3 linked regions of the Astyanax mexicanus genome follow. The protein of the gene in region 1 purifies or fractionates together with the protein of each later gene. This does not show direct contact. Links are inferred from orthologs where the notes say so. Each region holds a gene or a part of one and is shown in the gene's direction. Other genes may lie near its edges.

Region 1 (7,392 bases):
CACCTTTACTACAATACTACCATCTGTCACACAGAGAGCTGGCACCAAAACCATTAGACAATACAGGAAGCACCTGCTGTGAAGGCTTAATGGCCATGCTGATGTTTATAAAGCACCGTTACAGTTATCTTAATTTACTGGACCACAGAGATGAGAACAGCTGGGGTGAGGAATAGCAATGGTAATATAATGCCTCATTTAAAGTAAAGTATTATGACAATGATAACATAAACCCTTAAGGGTAGTTTGTCATAACTTGCAAGTAAGGTAGGTTTTGTTGCTGAACATGCCCAATAACTACTTACCTTGACAGAAAAGGCCCATTTAACTAACGAGTATTTCTTACAGCCACTGATGTGTTTTTGTTTTGGAAGAAAGTAGTTACCTGTAGCTTGGTGAACACATTTTCTGACAGACTGCTTAAAGGTTTTGAATAGAAGTGCATAGATACAGAAATATGTGTGTTGGATGGTTCTGGTAAAATTTAATTTTAAATAAAATTTAATCATTCGGATAAATCATTTGAGACGGATTAATATAATTAAAGTGTAAAAATATGCAACTGCCATGTAATGTACTGAAGTGTTGTCCTCTGTTGTGTGCAGGGTAGTGATGCCCCTCGTGCACAGCTGCATGATGGCCCTGCCGTCTGTCCAGGTGGTCTGGGCCAGCCTGATGGACATGTTCACTGGGCCTTTCTTCCACAGCTTCGGCAAGAGCCTGTCTTCCATCAACATAAAGACTGTGCAAAACTAAAACAGATTTAAGGAATACTCCAGTGATTTGGCATAATCTTTCTGTAGGCCACCTGTAGCATAGAGTTGAATAACACAGACAAAAACTTTTTTGTAGCACAAATAGCACTTTGTCAGCTTTGAGACAGTGTGTTGAAACTGACCATAGTCTACTGATACAGCAGTTAAAACACTGGAGTATTCCTTTAAGTCCTATTACTTTCAGACCAATTCCTTTAACAACAGATGTTCTCTATGACATGCTTTCTTCTACTTGAGTGCCTGAGCTTAGACATTACGCTCAGACCTTATCAGCTGCACCTGATGCACCCTAAAATCAGCTGTTTGTTTTGATCTAGGTTAAACCATATGTATTGGCTTTCTAGTAAGATGATGGCATGTCATGTATTAAAAACAATAGCAAGGTTAAAGAAAAGGAAGAAAATATTTTTATTTCCATATTTGTTCACCAGACAAAACCTGACTCCTGTTTCACAATATCAGTAGTGAAAAACAGTTGCTTATTTAAAACGTATGTGTGATTAAGCTTTTATACTGTATATGAGAAATTACATATGAATGTACTGACTGAGACCTTATTGTCTGTTTATTCCCTAGTGTACATTAGTATATAAATGCTGAGGTGCAGCTTATTGCATTCTTTTGCATGCTTATTATTTAGCTAGTGAAGAAATGATGCTACTGCATAACAAGAAGCAAAACAGGGAACAGAGAATAAAATAAAACTGGTGCCAGCTACATCCTGCTGGATAGTAGCTCTTTTGTGTTTTCTGTCTAAATTAATATTTATTAACAATAAAAGAACATAGGGTGTATTACTTTTATATTTTAGAGATATCCTTTGTTAAGTTTATTTTTACACAACATTGCCTTATGTGCATACATACTGTCTGAGCCTTTAGGCGTAGGCCTCAATGACAGATTGCTCTGCACACAAAGTTAACATTCCATAAAACATCAAGGACCATGATGGATTTTAGAGAGTAATTTATTCCTGCACAGTTTTTCAGACCGCTTGCCTTGCAAAGCTGCATTTGAAGTGCTGCCTGCTCTTTTTTAGTAGCTGCTCAGAGAAAATGGAAGGCTTGTTTGTGCAATGGAACATGAGGTGTTCAGGTGTTCTTTTTTCTTCCTCCTCCCTATTGAGTGATGTAATGTAGCAAAAATCCTGAGTGCAACAGAGCTCAATAAGAGAGAATCTTAGAGATCAGGGCCAAAAAGCCTCTCAGTTACTTTGCCAAATAAAGAAATATTTAAAGTGATACTCTTGTTTGTCTTTTTTTCATCTCATATCTGTGCAAAAATATTTCACCCTACCTCTTAGTTATCAGTTGTAAAACGGCACATGTAGAAATCTCTTGCCGTTTGCCTGAGGGGAGATAGCATATTACACAAAGTGGAATGTTCCATGTAGACGCCATAGAACCTGCCCAGAGTTCACTACGTACTGATATACACTGAGTTTTATGCGACAAAGAGCTGTATTCACATTTATTCCAGAGAGTCCATGCATTAAGATTGATTAATCCCTGATTAGTCAGCAGGTATGTAATTTTTGTTCACTTTACCACATAATGTTTTACATCTCTTGTCAACACATACCTTTCACTCACTGGAATATGTGAAAGCTAAAAACAGACTGCATTCATTATTTACCTTTTCTTCCAAAAGCAGTTTAGCCCCACCCATTCATAAAGAAATTTTAGGTATTTCATCCTGAGCTGACCTTTAACAGAAGCAGATTGTCAATCAAAGGGAATTTATTAGATTTAAAGGTACACAGGAAATTTGGCAGTGTTAAATCAACACTGTTAGTGTTAAATTAACACTTATTAGTGTTAAACTTTACACTCTCAGTGTTAATTTAACACTAACAGTGTTGATTTAACATTGCCAAATTTCCTGTGTACTATGCAGCCTGTTTTATCATAAGGAATAAAATGAACTTGGAAAACAGTCATGTAAAAATGAATTATGACCATTTCTGGTCTAAAACTTTAAAAAAAATATTGTAAGATTTTGGCCATTTAAATGGTTTAATTTTTACCATTGGCTGGGTAGCATTAATATCAGCACTATATGCTAAGCATATTACAAATACACTGTGTACAAATAAAGTTTCTCTCAACCAGCAATGCAGAATCAACAGTGCTAGTGAAAACAGCAATGTTCATTTGAGCTCTCATAATTACACTGTATAAACTGATAAAGGAAAATTTTACTATCTTTCTCTCCTTGATACCACACACACACACACACACACACAGTACTCTGAACAAAAGCCCTGTCTTTTTGCATGCCTTTGCATACTGGCCATAGAGAACAAATCATGTCAGTCTTCCATTGGGGTGTGTCTCCAAGACAAGACATGTAGAACTGAAGGAATGAAGGCCATGGTTTAAACTAGAATAAAAATGTTTTTCTTGTATATGAACAATTTGTGTACAAATTCTTTGAGTTACGGTTCTATAATCAATAGAATCATTGCCGTTAAGAAACATCATTTGAAGAACTGCCCAGTGCTTACATTTTATAGAGTTAGCAGTTTATTGCATAGTTAATCAAACATCAGTAATTAAACAATTTAGGGAGGGTACTTTCCAAATAAAATGTTGTCCACCAATACAGCAACCTGTACATTTGAGGGGGCAATAACATTAAATAATCTTTTCATAACTTAACCTTTTAAAATAGAAGAAAATTATCTGTAAGGTGGATTAATAAAGGTAATGAAGCACATCTTTTGAGGACACTGACACTCTTAATACCAAAATAAGTATAGTTCGGTACCTTTTTTTACATTTTTTTTTACATTACCTTTTTTAAATATATCAAGGTATCCAAACAAAATAGTACCAAAACTTTGTAAATATGAATGAATGTTTTTACTTCTTACCTTAAAACTAGCATGTCTGTTTTAGTTACAAATCTTAAAAATGCTGCATATAAAACCACTGTTGAGACTTATGCAGCATTAGCACTGAATACATTTAGTAGCGCAACCCCTCCATTCACTTGGGTTATTTACCCTGAGTTAAACCCTGAGCTTCACATTTACTTTACAGACTTAAGGTGAGGTTTTACATGTGTGCAGCTTCTTTAGCATCTACAGGGAGCAATTATGGCCCTGATTGGGGAAAATCACGTCAGTATATCCACCACTACCCCTGCTTGAGTGGCAGGCTAATGGTGGGTTAGGGTTTCACTCATCACAGAGCACACTTGTCCGCGCAGGTGACGGAGGCACAGTTGTGAGGCTGTGAGCAGCTCGGTGGATTCGAGCCAGAGGGATTTAGCAGCTCTGGACTGGAGTAAAAGAGAGGGGTTAATACATACAGGCGCTTGGTTAAAGAGGCAGAGACTGGGATTCAGTTAATGCTAGTGTTACTGCTCCTGTCAGTGTGTGTGTGTGTGTGTGTGTGTGTGTGTGTGTGTGTGTGTGTGAGGACTCAGTCGCAGCGCCTCCCACAGTGCGCTTCCTTTGGAAAGTCATTGTGCTTCAGTGTTCAGATCTGACTGCTTCAGACAGCATGACTGGAGGACTGAAGGACGGAGAAAGCGAGGTGAGTGCGTGAGGCTGCCGTGATCCTTTCTCAGCGCAGCCATTCCATCTGCTAATAATAATAATAATAATAATAATAATAATAATAATAATTGTTAATGCTTTAATTTTTTGTGTGATTTTAACTAGTTTAAATGAGAAGTTGTTTTTTTTTTTTCACTTTTTTCGTGCAGTTCAGAGTCTAATTCCAAATGACTCCACTTTTCGCAGGGTGAAATACAGTCTATCTCTTCTCTTATCGTTACGCCCCCACCTCCCTAAATTATGCCCCCCAATGCTCTCCTACCTTTTTTCCCTCCTCTGTCCACTATTGGCACCACCTCGCGCACTATGTTCCAGTTTCTCGTGCGTTATCTAGCTATTTTGGCTCGTTCTTTTCTTCAACAGGTTTCTCTCTCTCTCTCTCTCTGAATGAAGTATTTTGAGGTCAGACTCCACACTGTACAGATTACTCCACACTGTACTAGATACTCCACACTGTACTAGGTACTCCACACTGCAGTGGGTACTCCACACTGCACAACTACCCCACACTGTAGCTACTCCACACTGTACTAGGTACCTCACACTGTATTGGGTCCTCCACACAGTACTGGGTACTCCACACACTGTACAGACTTCTCCACACAGGACTGGGTACTCCATACACTGTACAGACTTCTCCACACTGTACAGACTTCTCCACACTGTAAAGGGTTCTCCACACACTGTACAGTCTACTTCACACTGCACAGATTTCTCCACATTGTACTGGGTACTCCACACACTGTAAAGGGCTCTCCAATCAGCAAAGGGTACTCCACACACTGTACAGTCTACTTCACACTGTACAGACTTCTCCACACTGTAAAGGGTACTCCACACACTGTACAGTCTACTTCACACTGCACAGATTTCTCCACACTGTACTGGGTACTCCACACAGTAAAGGGCTCTCCAATCAGTAAAGGGTACTCCACACACTGTACAGTCTACTTCACACTGTACAGACTTCTCCACACTGTAAAGGGTACTCCACACACTGTACAGTCTACTTCACACTGCACAGATTTCTCCACACTGTACTGGGTACTCCACACAGTAAAGGGCTCTCCAATCAGTAAAGGGTACTCCACACACTGTACAGTCTACTTCACACTGTACAGACTTCTCCACACTGTAAAGGGTACTCCACACACTGTACAGTCTACTTCACACTGCACAGATTTCTCCACACTGTACTGGGTACTCCACACAGTAAAGGGCTCTCCAATCAGTAAAGGGTACTCCACACACTGTACAGTCTACTTCACACTGTACAGACTTCTCCACACTGTAAAGGGTACTCCACACACTGTACAGTCTACTTCACACTGCACAGATTTCTCCACACTGTACTGGGTACTCCACACAGTAAAGGGCTCTCCAATCAGCAAAGGGTACTACACACACTGCATAGACTACTGTACGTGTTTACTCCACGCGGTATCAGCATGCAAATCTAGTAGAAGCTTCTCGTTGGGGACCCCTTGTGGCGGAACTCGGACCTCTGCTTAGAGAGGGGTGTGGTGCTGCACTTCTATCCATTTAAAACCATCTCATACCAGGGGTAACGTGCTGAGTCGCTCCTTGCTCTCCTCTCTCACGTTTGGAAACTTTTCTCCATTTTGTTGTTGTTCTCTCAGGAGTACATTCACTCTCCGTTCATCAGAAAGCAAGGGAACATTTACAAACCCAACAACAAAAGCATGGATAACGACAGCATCAACGAGAAGACCATGCAGGACGTCCACACCAAGGAGATAGACCTGGTCAACCGGGATCCAAAGCACTTAAATGATCACGTAGTAAAGGTAAACTTATTTCCTGTTTTCCTATTAGAAAAAATAAACATATTAACAGGCGTGCTATAGCTGTCATTTTTATATTTCTTATTTTAAGACATTTCTATTTTTACAAGAAATTAGCATAAACTAATTTTAGGCATAAACTAGTAGAAAGCTGCCTATAGATAACATTTGGAAGTTTAGTCTACTTTTCTTCTGTTTATTAATTAGCACAACATTAACTGTAAAAAGGGGCTTTAAATTTGCATGATTCAAATGTCCTAACTGGTTTTAATTTTTTGTTCCAAATATTTAAATGTGTCATGTCAAAACAATTCTAATTCTAATAAAGAATAAACTTCAAGAAAGCTGTGGTTCTGTTGATTGTACAATGTTTTATTCATGTACAATCACCTCACACTTTCAAATCGTGTAAAGCATTTAATATTCAGAGCTCCCTCTTTAGTGGAATTGTGCAACTCCAGCTGGCTGTGCCACAAGGAGCTGTAGCTGTGCTGTGGAATAGTTTTAGACAAGCCTGCAAAAGCTGCATGCACGGCACAAGTTTGACCTGAAGTTTTCTTGTGAGCCATTGACTACCACAGCCCTATGTCCTGTCTCTTTATCAGAATCAGTGCATGCTTGCTAACGCAGGTAACCTCTGCTCTGCACCGACCGACCCCCTGTCTAGTGATGAGCTGTCAGAACCTCAGCTCCACAAAGGAACAGAGGAAATATTTCAAGCTTCCTGTTTTCGCAGAGTTTTTGCTCCCAACATTGTTGACAGAAATTTTCCAGGGCGTGGAGGCATGCTGAGAGTGTGTCCAGCTAAGTTATGCTGCATCAAATGTTAAAAATGCCCATTTAACCCTACTGTATTTGCTTTGATAAATGTACACATTCTGCAAGTGAATGTGTCCCATTGCTGTTGCTAGGGAGTGGCAGGATATTTCCAGGGATAACCTGTGACCAGAGGATAGGGAGAAAAGTATCTGTTAAAGCACTGATGCCCCCTTTTTCCTTCTTTCTCTTCCTCGCCCTTTTTATGCCAGCGTGATTCTGACTCACTCTCCCAAACATGACCTCCTTAGAACAGAGAGGTTCTTATGATTTGTCCACTGATTGAATTCACAAGCGCATTGGACACGCAAGCATTTTTTCCGTTCTGGATTGGTCTGGAAACAGAGTGAATGGAGGCCGAGAGAAATCTTGCGGTCTTGCGTATGGGAAGAGAGCAGGGAATTCCCATCTATATTTCCACCATCATATT
Region 2 (7,442 bases), on another chromosome or scaffold:
ATAGCATACAAAATAAAATGCATATATTACATATAACAACACTAGCATACTAGTATACTTGCAATAATGTATTTACAATTTATTTCTATATTAAGCAATTACTGTAGACTATAGCAGGAATATTATTTCGAGGAAAGTATTCTAGATTTTTATAAAAGTGTACTATAGATACTAGCTCTTTTATAATATAATCTGTATTAGTAACAGTACATGAACAGTACATACATGCCACTCAGAATGACCTAGAGCTGTAGATGAACCATGGCAGGTTGTTAAGCACTGCCATCTACTGCTCAAAACACTTACTGCATCAGTGAGGTCAGATACGGATGTTGGATGGTTAGTTCAGAGTAACCAGAAAGAAGAATTGGATGAAGCCCCGTTATATACATAAACATGAATCTTTTGGTATCAATGCCTAATGCCAGATGTGGGCTAGAGGGGTATAAAGTGGAACAGTGGAACTGTGTTCTCTGGAACAAAGGCGTGTACATTCAATACTTTTGGAATAAATTGTGTAAAAGAATAGTATTTTCTGGACAATAGAGACACACTACATTCTATTTAGTACCATTAAATTTGAATAAGACAATGAATATGCAAGCGTTCCATTAATTTTTCCAAAATAACTTATCACTGAACCATCACCTAATACTTTTGTCAATGCAGCGTTTTATTGGCCCCCAAAAGAACCAGAGCAAAGCAAAAAATTAGATGAAACTGGTCCAGTTGTGTCTTATGTCTCATTTTACCAGGGTTCACACTGATAATGAAATACAGTCTCAGTCAAACGTGTGGACACACCTTTTCTTTCAATGTTTTTATTCATTTTTCCTACATTATTCATAAATTAATACTGTATTCATCATGAAGGAGTGCATAATGAATCATGTAGTAATGTAAAAGCATTAAACAAAACAAAATAGTCTGTGAAGCATTTAGGTGCTCTTATCTGGGGAGCTTTTAACTTGCTGTTTCTGAGACTGGTAACTCTGATCAACTTATGCTGTGCAACAGAGGAAACTCTTGTTCTTTCTTTCCTGGGGTGTTCCTGATGAGTGCCAGTTTCATCATAACATTTTTGATGGTCGTTGTCACTGCGTTTAAGAATACTCTGAAATTTCTTGAAATTTTTCGGATTGACTGAAAGCTGTTCCAGGTGACTACCTCATTTTCTCTAGCTGACTGAGGAAATGCCAGGCTGTGCAAAGCTGTCATCTAAACAAGAGGTGCTACTTTAAATAATCTAAAATGTTAAAATGATGAAAAGCACAGAATATAAGATATTACCAAACATTTGTCTGGTAGTGTATATATACTATTTCAAACTAAGGCCTGAATTAAATTGTCCATTACACATTAGTATCTGCAATACTAAAATAGCACTCTGATGGGTGGCTACTTTGACACTTTGAAGACTTTTTGACATTTAATTCTGATGACTGCAGATCTGATGCTCTAAAGCCATGTCAAGCTTGTGAGCCACTGTCAACACAACAACTTTAGCCTATGGCTGGTGTTTAACAAAAGTCAGTTTACATCAATATCTTGAGGAGTAAGTGCAAATGGTTGGCAGTGGTAATCAGAGGATGGGTATTGTCTATAGTTAAGATCAGAATTAACCCTCTAATTTGCAGTACTGACAGGTACAGCAGCACTAAATACAGAAGATATGAGCTTTCTGATACAAGATTTTACAGAAAGAACGGCCAAACATTAATACACCACTGGTGGACTCAAGGGGGTGCAGGGGTGGCAACCACCCCTTCTTGGTACACCCATGGTTAAAAAAAAAACAAGGATCGCTTTTCATGTCTTTTAGATGACCAAAAAAGGGACAAAGTGGCCTATTGTGTGCCCTTCTTGTGAGAAAAGTGATTCAGTGCCTGTTTGGGTGCCCCTTCATGAGTACATTAAAATAATGTGTCCACTAGTTCAAGAAACGTTAATTATATGTCTTAATAAGTGTGTATATACAGGTGCCCTTCTGCCCTTCTAATAGAAAAATGTACCAATATGAAGGGTCTTCTATGCCACCCCTATTAGATGGTGCCCCAAAGGATGCCCTTTTCACTAAATGGAGATCATGCTGAAATAAAAAAATGCCTACCAGTGGATTAAATAAAATGTGGTGTCCTATAGATTTCCATTATAGTGGGTTTAACGGTATCTGATTGTACAAGACAAATTAAATTGTTCTGGAATATGATACAGAATTTATAAACGCATTTCAGTTCTTCAAATTGCATACGTTCCATTTATCAGTAGTTTAAGCCACACCCCTTTTAGAATATACAGACACCACATTACGCAGTGTGTGCCTTGTTATAAGTTATAAATAAAGTACATAACATTGTCTCATTACAAAAGAGCATGGGATGAACAATATATTAAATGTCAATTTAAAAAGCTTCAAAACAATCCTCTCAGTCTGTTGAATCCAGCCACACCTCAGTGCAAGAAGAGGGTGATAATTATGAAAGCTAATGAGCTGAGGGGAAGTAGAGCAGAGGAAATGAGAAACAATGAAATTTACATTTGCTGTCAAGCTGAGGCCTGAGAACACTGCAGTAACTCGTACACAGCAGTAGAGGGCAAACCCAAGCTTATAGAAGATGAAACAAATTGTTTTATTCAGTTACACGACTGTATGTCCAAAATAGTGAGTTTGCCCTATTTAAATTGATATATTTTGCCCCTTTTAGTCCTCTAGTTGCGAAAAAACAAAATGCAACAAGTATGACTGGACAGCACTTCACAGTACAGATGGATAATGACCAAAAACATACTGCTTAAGCAAACCAGGAGTTCTTAAGGCACAGAAATGGTATAATCTGAAATGGCAGAGTCAATCACCAGATCTGAAGCAGATCAAGCAGCATTTCACTTACTATAGACAAAACTAAAGGCAGAAAGAACCACAGACCAGCAACAACTGAAGACAGCTGGAGTACAAGGCTGGCAAAGCATCATAAATGAGGAAAAATTTGGAGATGTCCATGGGTTTCAAAACTTTAGGCAGTCATTGCCTACAAAGGATTTTTTTAACAAAGTATTAAAAATTAACATTTTATTTACAATAAAGTTAATTTGTCCAATTACTTTTGAGCCCCTTAAATGAGGTTTGTAGAGAAATGGTTGTAACTCCTTATAGGATTTTTGTTAAGCCCCTCGAATTAAACCTGAAAGTCATTTCAAATTCATTGTGGAGGAATGCAGAGCCCACTGACACAAAAGCAATATTTTAAATATTTTAATTATGATTTTGATTTGCTATAAAGTATATATACATTCAGTATAACTATATAAACAACACATAATTATGCTTTATTTTCTTATTTTAATTATTTTAAAAAGTTTGAAGACAATAGAGATGTGAGTTATTAATTTATTTGAAATATATACAAACAGGACAAATCATTGTTTTCATATTTATAATCTTTAAATTATAATAAATACAACTATAATCTATAAATCTATAGTATATTAATATATCTTCTAAAAAAACACGATATACACATTTATAATCCATAAATCTATAATCTATAAATATATGAGTTATACATTTATAATCCATAAATCTATAATCTATAAATATGAGTTATACATTTATAATCTATAAATCTATAATCCATAAAGCTATAGTTTATAAATATATGATAAATACATTTATAACCTTTAAATCTATAATTTATAAATCTATAGTCTATAAATCTATAATCCATAAATGTATAATCTACACGTATGTAGTCTATAAATCTATAATCTACAAATATATAGTCTATAAATCTAATTCCTATAAATCTATAGTCTATAAATCTAATTCCTATAAATCTATAATCTACAAATATATAGTCTATAAATCTAACGTCTATAAATCTATTTTCTATAAATATATAATCCACAAATCTATTTTCTATAATCTATAATAAATAAATCTATAGTCTATAAATTTAAAAACTAGAAATCTATAGTGTATAGGCTATAAATACATGCGATTTACATTTATAAATCTATAATATATAAACAAAAATATTATATAAATACATGATATATACACTGTATGAATAGAATATAAATTAAATACATTCATTCTACAATATTCTATGTATTTACATCTGTACAATGTTCTACTGATCCTCAAGCTGTTCTTATGTAACGACCCTTCTGTCCCCACAAACAGCAGCTGCGCATGCGCAGAACCACCATCGTCCCCATCACTAGCATCCTCCTCCTCCTCCTCTTCATCCTCTCCTCCTGATCCTGGTCCTCGTCTGTCTGACCCGGGCTGCGTTGGGCTGCTGGGCTGTTTTAGCCCCGTGCGGACCGCGGTGTTCCCGGGGGGAGATGCGCTTGGTTCCCGGGCCGCACCTGCTGCTCCTGCGCCTTCCCAACACGTAGCCGAGCCCCGCGGAGGGCCGGCCGCTCGGACGGGCTGCCTGCCTCTCTCTCTCCCCGTCTCAGCGCGCTCCAGCTGGGATGCACATCAGCGTCCTGCCCTGCTCCCTCTCCGTGGTCATGGCTGCCGGATACCAGGCCCCTGGCGCCTCCGCTCCGGACACCTATCTGGCGCTGAAGGACGTGAGGGAGGTGAAGGAGGACACCACGCTCGACGAGAAGCTCTTTCTGCTGGCCTGCGAGAAGGGTGAGTGTGTGTGTGGGCGAGCTGGAGGCCATGCACAGACATTTGGGGGACGGGGGGGTGTTGTGATATGGATGGGCTTGCATCAGGACCAGCTGCATCATATGATAAAAAAGGACCTCCTATATATAGGTGGTCCATACCTAGCCTACATAGAATTTGTTGGTTTGTTTGTTTTGTTTGTTGTTTACTGTCCATATCTCAATGTTTTATACACAATAAGAGGACAGAGATTAATGGAAGTGATGCTCCATTACTTAAAGCCCCCCTGCTTAATTGCATAATTTATTGCACACAGCTTACGAAAGCATACATTTAAAACATGCATTGTGGTGCAGTCCCTTTTATCTCACCAGCTGTGTTCACTTATTTGGTTTAATGATGCATGGATACTGGAGAAACTATGTGCCAAAACTCTTGCATCCGGACTGCAATGAAAAAATAATAGGAGGACCAGTGAGTTATTAGGCTTTCTCGGTCACGACATGGCGTTCAGTAGCTCCTCCATTTCCACTCTTCTGCTGTTGTGTTTATGTGGATCTCCATGTAAACGTGCGCTCAAAGTGTAATTAAGGTGCATGGCAGTGGACAAATAGCTATTTAAATAAATGCGAGGTGAGGAAACTTAGAGATGGGAATTCGGACGGGACTAAAATTACCAGAGGACTACGGAATACAGTGAATAACAGTAGATAATTCAGCCTGTAATTTTCTCAGAGGATGTCTGAAAATAAATTAAAAAAAAAAAAATCAGAGGACCCCCATAAAAGAGAAACTTACCCTAGGACCCCCTGAGAAACTAATCCCATGCATATAGGGCTTTGTTGTTTTGAAATCTTCATGTTTGCAGTAGCTCTTGTATCAGAACCATTAGCAGCACAGTAAGTCAGGTAACCAGAAAAAGCTATTAAAGCCAGAAAAATGTCAAGAACACCAAAAAATGGCTGGGCAAGCTGGGAGGCATATAAACTGTAGAAGCTGCTGATATTTTGTGAATTATCATGTGATCTTTGTGGTGTTTGGATGCTGTGAAGAACTTAAACTGTGGGTTGAGCCTAGAGCTGACTGAATCGGTTCACAAATTGAGATTGAGATGCATATTTTAGTCAATGATTTAAAATATTGTTTAGAAGCCCATGCGTTGATATAAGGCTCTGATCTCATGTATACACAGCCTCAGGGAAACTCAGAGACGACACAGAGTTCTCCTTAGACACTGGATTATATTTCAGAACGTATGTTTGTGCTGAAAACTGAGAAATAAAGCAGTTATCGGGTCACAAAATGTTTTGCTTATTATTGAGTCTTTTCTACAGTGGATTAATCACAGGTCCTCACCGAAGAGCGATGACGCTGCAGCTTTTACAAATGGCAGGATTTCTTTCTAGATCTTTCTAGCCATATACGGTATATGGTTTATTCTGATGGATTAAGAATTATAGTACCAATACTAAATAAATAGTGTATTGTACCGATTTTGATGACAAAGTATTTCTAGTACCTTTCTAGTATCGGTATACTAGTATACCATGCAACACAAGTCTGCGTATACTTGACACTCATTGGTTTGTAGAGTTTGTCTGAAATCGGTGTGCTGTCAATATGGCGATCAAATTTTGATCCTTTAAGTTGAACTGTAATTTATGGCACTTTTTCAGAAAATCTAGACCAAACAAGGAAAATGTGAAAAAAAAGTGGTGAAAAAGTGTCTCCGCACTGAGCATGTGGAAGAGTACTTTTAACACATGCATTGTGGTGTGATCCCCTTTCAGATCAGATTATTCTGATCATTGCAAGTTTACATAATATTCAGAGAAAGCTCAGTCAAAACATGAAGAAATGAAGAAATGTCTTCAGTGGATATAAAATAAGAATGTACTGTTTAAATATAATATCTTTTGGATAAATATATGACTGATGACAGACCAATTCTTTGCTAGTCAAATTTTCTCTCATGCATGCCACAAAGTGGTTCACTTCACACAAAACTGCCACACAAAAGCGCACAAAACATGTTGTAGGTTTGAAAGTTCTTCAGAGAGAATGCAAACGGCAACAAGCTCACAATCTGCACAACCCGCAAGGCCAAAGTCAGCCATAGAGAAACAAATGCCAAAATATGTGGAGTGAGAAAATAAAAAGAGAGTTGAAAACACACCATCTCTCTGCTGAATTTACTGAATGTTGTCATCTGAAGAATGCATAACACTGAAATAGTGGCCAATTTCTACCAGAGTTTTGTAATCTAATATCAAGCTACACCTGCTTGATATTATAAGCCGGTCCCGAGCCCATACAAAAAAATAAGAGACCACTTAAAAATAATGGGTTTCTTTGATTTTACCAAATTGAAAACCTCTGGAATATAATCAAGAGGAAGATGGATGATAACAAACTAAACTGAACTACTTGAATTTTTGCACCAGGAGTAAAGGCATGAAGTTATCTAAAAGCAGTGTGCAAGACTGGTGGAGGAGAACATGCCAAGATGCATGAAAACTGTGATTAAAAACAGGGTTATTCCACTAAATATTGATTTCTAAAATTTTAAGAATATTAACTTGTTTTCTTTGCATTATTTGAGGTAATTTCAGCCATTTCTCATTTTCTGCAGATACATGCTCCAAGTTACAATATTTTTATTTGGAATTTGGGAGAAATGTTGTCTGTATTTTACAGAATAAAACAACTATGTTCATTTTACTCAAACATAAACCTATAAATAGCAAAATCAGAGAAACTGATTTAGAAAGTGGTCTCTTATTTTTTTCTTCCAGAGCTGTAATGTACTTAATTTCAG
Region 3 (7,351 bases), on another chromosome or scaffold:
TTTAAATATGAGACAAACATAAATATACAAAAAAGTAAATATAAAAAGATTTTAAATATATTTTTAAATGATAATTTCATTTATTAAGGGGGAAAAAATCTATTCAAAGCAACCAAACTGGCCCTAGGTTACAATATAATTGACCTCTAAACCGAATAACTTGGATGTGCCACAGCATCTCAATCAGATTTTAAGTTGGCCACTCCAAAACCTTAATTTTGATGTGCTTCGGATCATTGTCCTGCTGCAGAACCCAAGTTTGCCTGAGTTTAAGGTTTCAAACTGATGGCTTCAGGATTTTCTGGTAGAGAGCAGAATTCATGGTTCCATCAATTACAACTAATTGTCCAGGTGCTGAAGCAGCAAAGAAGCCCCAGGCCATCACACTACCACCACCATGTTTGACCATGTTTTAGTATGATGTTCAGTGTGCTGAAATTATGTGTTAATGGTATGCCACCCATCTGTAACAGAAAACACATCTTCCAAAAAAGTTCTACACTTTTCTCTTCAGTCAACAGAATATTGATGATCCTGGGGATTATCAAGATGTTTGTTGGCAAATGTGAGACAAGACTTTGTGTTCTTTTTTGGTCACCAGTGGCTTTTGTGTAATGTGTAGAGGAATATACAGTGCTTTGAAGAAGCATTTGCCCCCTTGCAGATTTTCTTTTATTTTTGTTCTTTTTTGGTCACCAGTGGCTTTTGCCTTGGAACTCTCGCATGGATAATATAGAAATACTACACTGCCTGGCCAAAACAAATGCTGCAGTTGGTCAGGTTTAGGTTCAGCAACAGTATGTGCTGAAAGAATGAGGTCAGCTGACTACCTGAATATACTGAATATAGACCAGGTTATTCCATCAATGGATTTTTTTCTTCCCTGATGGCATATTCCAGTATGACGATGCCAGGATTCATTGGGCTGGAATTGTGAAAGAGTGATTCAGGGAGAATAAAACATAATCTTTTCACATGGATTGGCCACCTCAGTGTCCAGACCTTAACCCTTAGAAACTACTTTTTATCCTTTTCCAGAGTAATAGATTTCAATTACCTCAGGGAATAATGTGTTGCTTTTTGAGATCTTTTATCCTCCTTATTGTTGTCAGACATAAAGCATTGTTGATTCTACAGTTCAGGCTAGGTTGTGGCTTGTGAAAATGTGGTTAATTACAGTTAATCCATTGGGGGGTCAGTTACTTTTTCCACCAAGGGCCAGGTTGGTTTATGTTGCTTTTTTCATTTAATTATAAAATCATAATTTAGAAAATGTTTTTTGTATTTACTCAGGTTTAAAATTAGTTTGATAATTAAAAAAATGTAAGTGTGGAAAAAAGAAATCTGAAAGGAGATGCAGTGGAACTGTGTTCTCTAGAATGATGGTTCTCCATCTAATATTTTCGGTGTAGGGAAAAGTATGTGATACCTTTGGGATTACTTAGATTCCTGAATAAATTGGTCATTAAATGTGTTCTGATCTTCTTCTAAGTCAAACACACAGTCTGCTTAAACTAATACCACACAAAAATGATATATGTTTGCATGGGTTTATTGAACACAACATGTTAACATTCACAGTAAAGGGGGGAAAAGTATGTGAACCTTTGGATTTATATGCAAACATAATTTTTGTGAGGTATTAGTTTAAGCAAACTGTGCTTGTCTATTGTTGTGACTTAAATGAAGATCAGAGCACATTTAATGACATTTAATTTATGCAAAAAAAATTCTTGCAACTATATATTCTGCTGTAAAGATTTGGTTGCACTACTAGAGGGTGTTGGCAAGCTTACGGCAAAACCTAAGAGCTCCATCGTTCCAGAGAACACAGTTCAACTGATCCACAGCTCAGTGCAGGATTTGAAGACCACTACTTAAAAACAAGTGATTGATTAAATTGAAAGTTTTTGGGGGGATACCAGAGGACAGTATCTTTGCATGTCTTCCAAAACATCTATCAAAATCTGATATTGATATTATAAATAATACAAATTTGTACTGCGTGCAACAAGAGACTAATCAAAGACATGTTGGACATATTTACTTACATGACACAAAGTAAGAAAATGTTTCCATAATACCTTATAGTTGTGAATTTTCAACCAGTGGCGACTGCTTGTTACAGTCTTATGAGTTTCAGTTGCGCACATAAAGCATAGAGCATCTCCTTAACAACGCAGAAATGCAGTTTCCTCAGATGGCCTGAACAGAGCCGGGGGGGTCATGCAGCATGTGACTCACTGGTCATTTGGTCTGAGTCATGTAGGTGCTGTTCTTCTGTTCTCTAGTGCATTTAGACTGTGTTATATGTGCTGTTGCTACGTTTCCATGCTTCATTCCTATGGGAATGGAGTACAGTACAATTACAGTACAATTAGATCTCCTGTAAATACAAAACAGTGGTCTTGTTGATGTTCTGACTGGAAGCTGTGCTGAAAAACTGCTGTATAGCCTTGGTCATCGTGCTGCATCTCAGTTTTAGGGGGTGCAAGCAAACTTTTTTATAGCCTATGCAATCTTTGTGGAGAGCAACAATTCTGTTTCTCTCATCCTCAGAGAGTTTTCTTGCCATGATGTTCCATGTTAAATATACAGTGGCCAGTATCAGAGAATTGTACCCAAAACCCAAATATAAAACATCCCTTCTCCCCATTCACACCTGAGATTTTGTAACAGTTAATGTTACAATAGGAAAATATCTAATTGGACACAATTTGGCCATTTTTACTAACTTTTGCTTCCAGCAGTTTAGACATTAAAAGAAACAATTTGTAATAAATCAGAGCGAGTGTGTTAGTCCAACACTGGATAGAGTCTTCAACCACTCATCCCCATAGGTGAAGCTCACATGGGTCGCCAGTTTGCACACAATGGCAAGCGATGACATGTCTGACTCTGCAGCAGATCAGTCAATATAGAGTATATGTTTCAGTGTCTAAAATACCCATTTCTAGTACATTAGTGATTGTAATAAATTATCTAGCTATAGTAAGCAACCTTACTGAAGCTCAGTGATTACATGTTTAGAAGAAAAATAATCAGCTCGCCCATTTCCATGGCTGCAGAAAACTATTATCTATACCTGGAAGCCCTGAGTGTGGAAATGGGAATGGTGGTAGGCAGATTCCCACACGGTGGAAACCACATCCCGCACACTTTTCCTTGATGTGCCTCACAGTTAAAAAAAAAAAAGAAATTCTGTTGAAGCTCTGCTCACAAGAGCTGCCAGAGCTTTACCTCAGCATGTTTACCTAATATCTGCTAATACACCCTGGTGATATAATCATTAATGGTTCTTTAATAGCTGTGTGTATGTATCAAAGTATCATATCTTCAGTGTTTCATGAAAAGATATCATATAGGGCTCTGAGTCATCCAGCGGACTAAGGTGCTGCCACATTGGTTGGGAGACCTCTGGTTCGAATCCTGTTCATGTAGCTTGTCATCAGCCAGAGCCCTCAGAGAGCACAAATGGATTTGCTCTCTCTAGGTAGGTAGACGGCACTCTTATCCCTCATCACTCCAAAGGTTGATGTCAATCAGCACAAGGCGTCTATGAGCTGATGTATAGGAACCTGAATCGCTGCGCTGTCCTCGGCAATTCTGCATCAGCAGTAGCTCGAAAAGAGTCGGTGGCTGACTTCACATGTATTGGAGGAGGCCTGTGCTAGTCCTCACCCTCCTTGTGTTGGGGCATCACTACTGATATGGTGGAGTCCTAATGAGTGGGTTGGGTAATTGGCCGTGTAAATTGGGGAAAAATGGGATAAGAAAAGATATCAAAAAATATTTGGAAAAGTTTCAGGGGTGTGTTTACTTTTGGGAAATACTGTATATTCAAAGATAAAGACATGGATAGAGTGAGAGACTAAAACACATGGGTCTCACACACACACACACACACACACACACACACACATACAGCATTTGATGATGCAACTTAACCCCAGGCATGCCCATGTTCACCCATCCGTGAATGAATGCTGCCTTAGCGCACATGCTGCACATTCAGACCCAATGAAAGAGCTGAGAACAAAGTGTGCAGACTAACTCACTAACACACACACGCACACACACACAAACACTCACTGAACGAGCGGGCTTCTATTAAACAAAGTGGTTGGTCCTAATGTTCTGACAGGGTTCAACCAGTGCTGATCCATCCTCAGTGGTGAGAAGGTGGGCACAGGTTTATTCCAGAGCCAAAAAAATGAAAATGAATGGCTTTGGGGGAGGAGTTGTGAGGACCACCCTCCACCCCCTCTCTCTTTCACTCTCTTACTCACTCTCTCTCTCTCTTTCTGAAACAGAGGATTCCCTCTCTCTGGTGCGCGCGCTGAGCCAGCCGCCTGTTGTTGTGTGTGTGTGTGTTTTTTTTCTCTCTTTTTTTGACGTCAGTAATCATCGTTCTTTCTCTCATCCGGGTCTTCAAACTCTTCAATCTCTCGTGCTCTCGTGGTTATTTACTTTACTGAGCGAGCGCGCGCTGCACAGCTTAGTCGCTCTCTTGCTTGCTCTCTCGTTCCACACTCTCGTACGAGCGCGCGGGCGTACGCACGCACGCACGCTCGCGCATGCATACATATACACACACACATACATACACGCGCTGGTGACACTGGAGAGCGGCGGCATCAGCAGCAGGAGCAGGAGGCTCGTGCGTGCGTCCGTGCGTGCCGCGTGCCGAGGGACCCCCCGGCTCTCGTGCAGCTCTGCCCCTCTTGTTCTCCCGCACGCTCTTTTTTGATGGCTCGGGCATGGAGATGGAGATAGCCCTGGTGAGCTTAGAGAACGGCGGCGCGCGCACGGGCTCCCCTCGCAGCCCTCCCCCGAGCCCGTGGCGCACGGAGCCCAGCGCGCGCCTCTTTGACGATGACACGCTGGATGAAGCCGCCGCCGTCGCCGCGCTGGACATGGCGAGCGCCGAGCGCGTGCTCATCAACGTGGCGGGCCTGCGCTACGAGACGCGCCTGGGCACGCTCTCGCAGTTCCCGGACACGTTGCTGGGCGACCCCGAGAAAAGGATCAAGTACTTCGATCCCCTGAGGAACGAGTACTTCTTCGACCGGAACCGGCCCAGCTTTGATGGCATCCTGTACTATTACCAGTCCGGAGGCAAGATCCGGAGGCCCGTCAACGTGTCCATTGATGTCTTCGCTGATGAGATCCGCTTCTATGAGCTGGGAGATGAAGCCATGGAGCGCTTCCGCGAGGACGAGGGCTTTATCAAAGAAGAAGAGCGACCGCTACCTGAGAACGAGTTCCAGCGCCAGGTGTGGCTTATCTTCGAGTACCCCGAGAGTTCCAGCCCTGCTCGGGCCATCGCCATCGTCTCCGTTCTAGTCATCACCATCTCCATCGTCACCTTCTGCTTGGAGACTCTGCCGGAGTTCCGGGATGAGCGAGAGCTGGCTGCGACCAGCAGCAGCAGGACGGCAGAGACCAATGGAACTCGCTCCAGGCCTTCGCTAACTTTCGCCGACCCCTTCTTCATCGTAGAGACTACTTGCGTCATCTGGTTCACCTTTGAGCTGCTAGTGCGCTTCCTGGCATGCCCAAGCAAGTCTGTGTTCTCCAAGACAGTCATGAACGTCATTGACGTCATGTCCGTCATGCCCTACTTCATCACGGTTGGCACGGAGCTGGTGGAGCAGCAGCACGGCCCAGAGCACGACGACGTCCAACAACAGCAGCAGCAGCAACAGCAGGCCATGTCTCTGGCCATCCTCAGGGTCATCCGACTGGTCAGGGTGTTCAGGATCTTCAAGCTGTCCAGGCACTCTAAAGGCTTGCAGATCTTGGGGCAGACTCTCAAGGCCAGCATGCGGGAACTGGGCCTGCTTATCTTCTTCCTCTTTATTGGGGTCATACTGTTCTCCAGCGCCGTCTTCTTTGCAGAAGCTGATGAGCCTGAATCGCACTTCTCCAGCATTCCCGACGCCTTCTGGTGGGCTGTGGTGACCATGACCACTGTAGGTTATGGGGACATGAGGCCGGTCACTGTTGGGGGCAAAATCGTAGGATCCCTGTGCGCCATTGCTGGCGTATTGACGATTGCGCTCCCAGTGCCTGTTATCGTGTCCAACTTTAACTACTTCTACCACAGGGAGACGGACCAGGACCAGGCCTCGCTCAGGGACGATGGCGGCCGCGAGAGTCCGTCGACCGTGGGGTTGGCAGGAGAGGGGGACAACGAGGCAGGGCTGGATAACTCGCCTGCAGAGAAACCTAGTGTGAAAGTGAACAGCAGCAGCAGCAGCAGTGTGGACATTAAGCGTTCACTGTACGCATTCTGCTTGGACGCAAGGGAAACGGACCTGTAGGTGTCGCAGGTCATTGACCGGTGCACCACAAATGCAGGTGCAAACATCAGACTACTTTTTTATTTTGTCTCTAGGTCTGTCTAAAAAGAAACCAAGTTCAAGACAAGTCCTTTTGCACAATCGACTGTTTTATCAACAGGTTGCTGCAGTCTTATAATGGTTTTATCAATAATCATATATTAAAATAGGACTTTAATATAGAATTCAATAGCCTGTTATAAGTCAAAATGTGAGGATGTGGTTGATGAAGAAAATCTGGATTTGACTTGAAAGGCCTTAACTGAGCTGGCACCACCTCCACCTTCACCTCCACCAGTGTGTGCACTCCTGTAACATAGCTGTAACATGTCCTACAACTTATATGTCCTACATATTCAACTGTTCAACAAAAACAAAAGCCAACAAGGGTCATTTCATTTTCGTAAAAACACCCAGATCTTCATCAGTCTCTTGTTTACTGCTGCTTAAATTCTCCTTGTTTAAAAAGCATCAACAATAAAAAAATGTGTACATATTTCCATCATCATATCGTATCAAAACGTTCAAATCGAGGAACGGGTTGCACACAAAGGTTTCCTGAAGCACACTTTGATTATGATAATGATGATGGTTTGGATAATGTGAGATCTGTAGTTTTATAACCCTTAAATACTCAAAATTCTATTGCATATTATACATTATTTATTTATTTATTTATATGATGAAAAAAAAAACACTCAGACCAAGGCACTTCACACCAAGACTTTAAGGCAGATGCTTGGATGGATTTCACTGTTGATTTCCTGAGGACTGAGGTGTCTTATCTGACCTGGAACTCAAAGTTTTTGATGGAAGATCTGGGCCGAGAAGAAAACGGAGAAAAGCAGAAGGAATTCAGCTGATGGGGCGATGCTGTGCAGGGGAGAGCTTTTTCAGCACACCAGTGCAAAATGCTGGTCCTCAGAGGGTGCAAGACATCTTCAAGAGGAGCACAAAGAGCAAAGGTCAGTGGCTTCATTTAATCTTTATGTTTCTGGAGCTCAGGT

Evidence for each region. The genes of interacting proteins can lie anywhere in the genome.
Region 2: the proteins of cav1 (region 1) and trpc1 purify together in Homo sapiens (affinity purification with western blotting; 3 studies listed by BioGRID and IntAct, with this or other methods). This does not show direct contact. The link is inferred for Astyanax mexicanus from reciprocal best matches to the Homo sapiens genes CAV1 and TRPC1.
Region 3: the proteins of cav1 (region 1) and potassium voltage-gated channel subfamily A member 5 purify together in Homo sapiens (affinity purification with western blotting, with the first as the bait; 3 studies listed by BioGRID). This does not show direct contact. The link is inferred for Astyanax mexicanus from reciprocal best matches to the Homo sapiens genes CAV1 and KCNA5.

What each region holds. Positions count from the first base shown.
Region 1 is NC_064417.1:17,838,236-17,845,627, forward strand, and holds the start of cav1 (caveolin-1), read left to right. Parts: upstream 1-4,212; 5' UTR 4,213-4,285; coding exon 4,286-4,318; intron 4,319-5,981; coding exon 5,982-6,149; intron 6,150-7,392. Other genes in the region: cav2 (caveolin-2), read left to right, coding at 606-756. UniProt on the Homo sapiens protein: May act as a scaffolding protein within caveolar membranes. Forms a stable heterooligomeric complex with CAV2 that targets to lipid rafts and drives caveolae formation. Mediates the recruitment of CAVIN proteins (CAVIN1/2/3/4) to the caveolae.
Region 2 is NC_064413.1:50,847,562-50,855,003, forward strand, and holds the start of trpc1 (short transient receptor potential channel 1), read left to right. Parts: upstream 1-4,208; 5' UTR 4,209-4,479; coding exon 4,480-4,645; intron 4,646-7,442. UniProt on the Homo sapiens protein: Forms a receptor-activated non-selective calcium permeant cation channel. Forms a heteromeric ion channel with TRPC4 or TRPC5 that has reduced calcium permeability compared to the homomeric TRPC4 or TRPC5 channel.
Region 3 is NC_064409.1:16,659,972-16,667,322, forward strand, and holds potassium voltage-gated channel subfamily A member 5, read left to right. Parts: upstream 1-4,318; 5' UTR 4,319-4,760; coding exon 4,761-6,326; 3' UTR 6,327-6,617; downstream 6,618-7,351. UniProt on the Homo sapiens protein: Voltage-gated potassium channel that mediates transmembrane potassium transport in excitable membranes. Forms tetrameric potassium-selective channels through which potassium ions pass in accordance with their electrochemical gradient.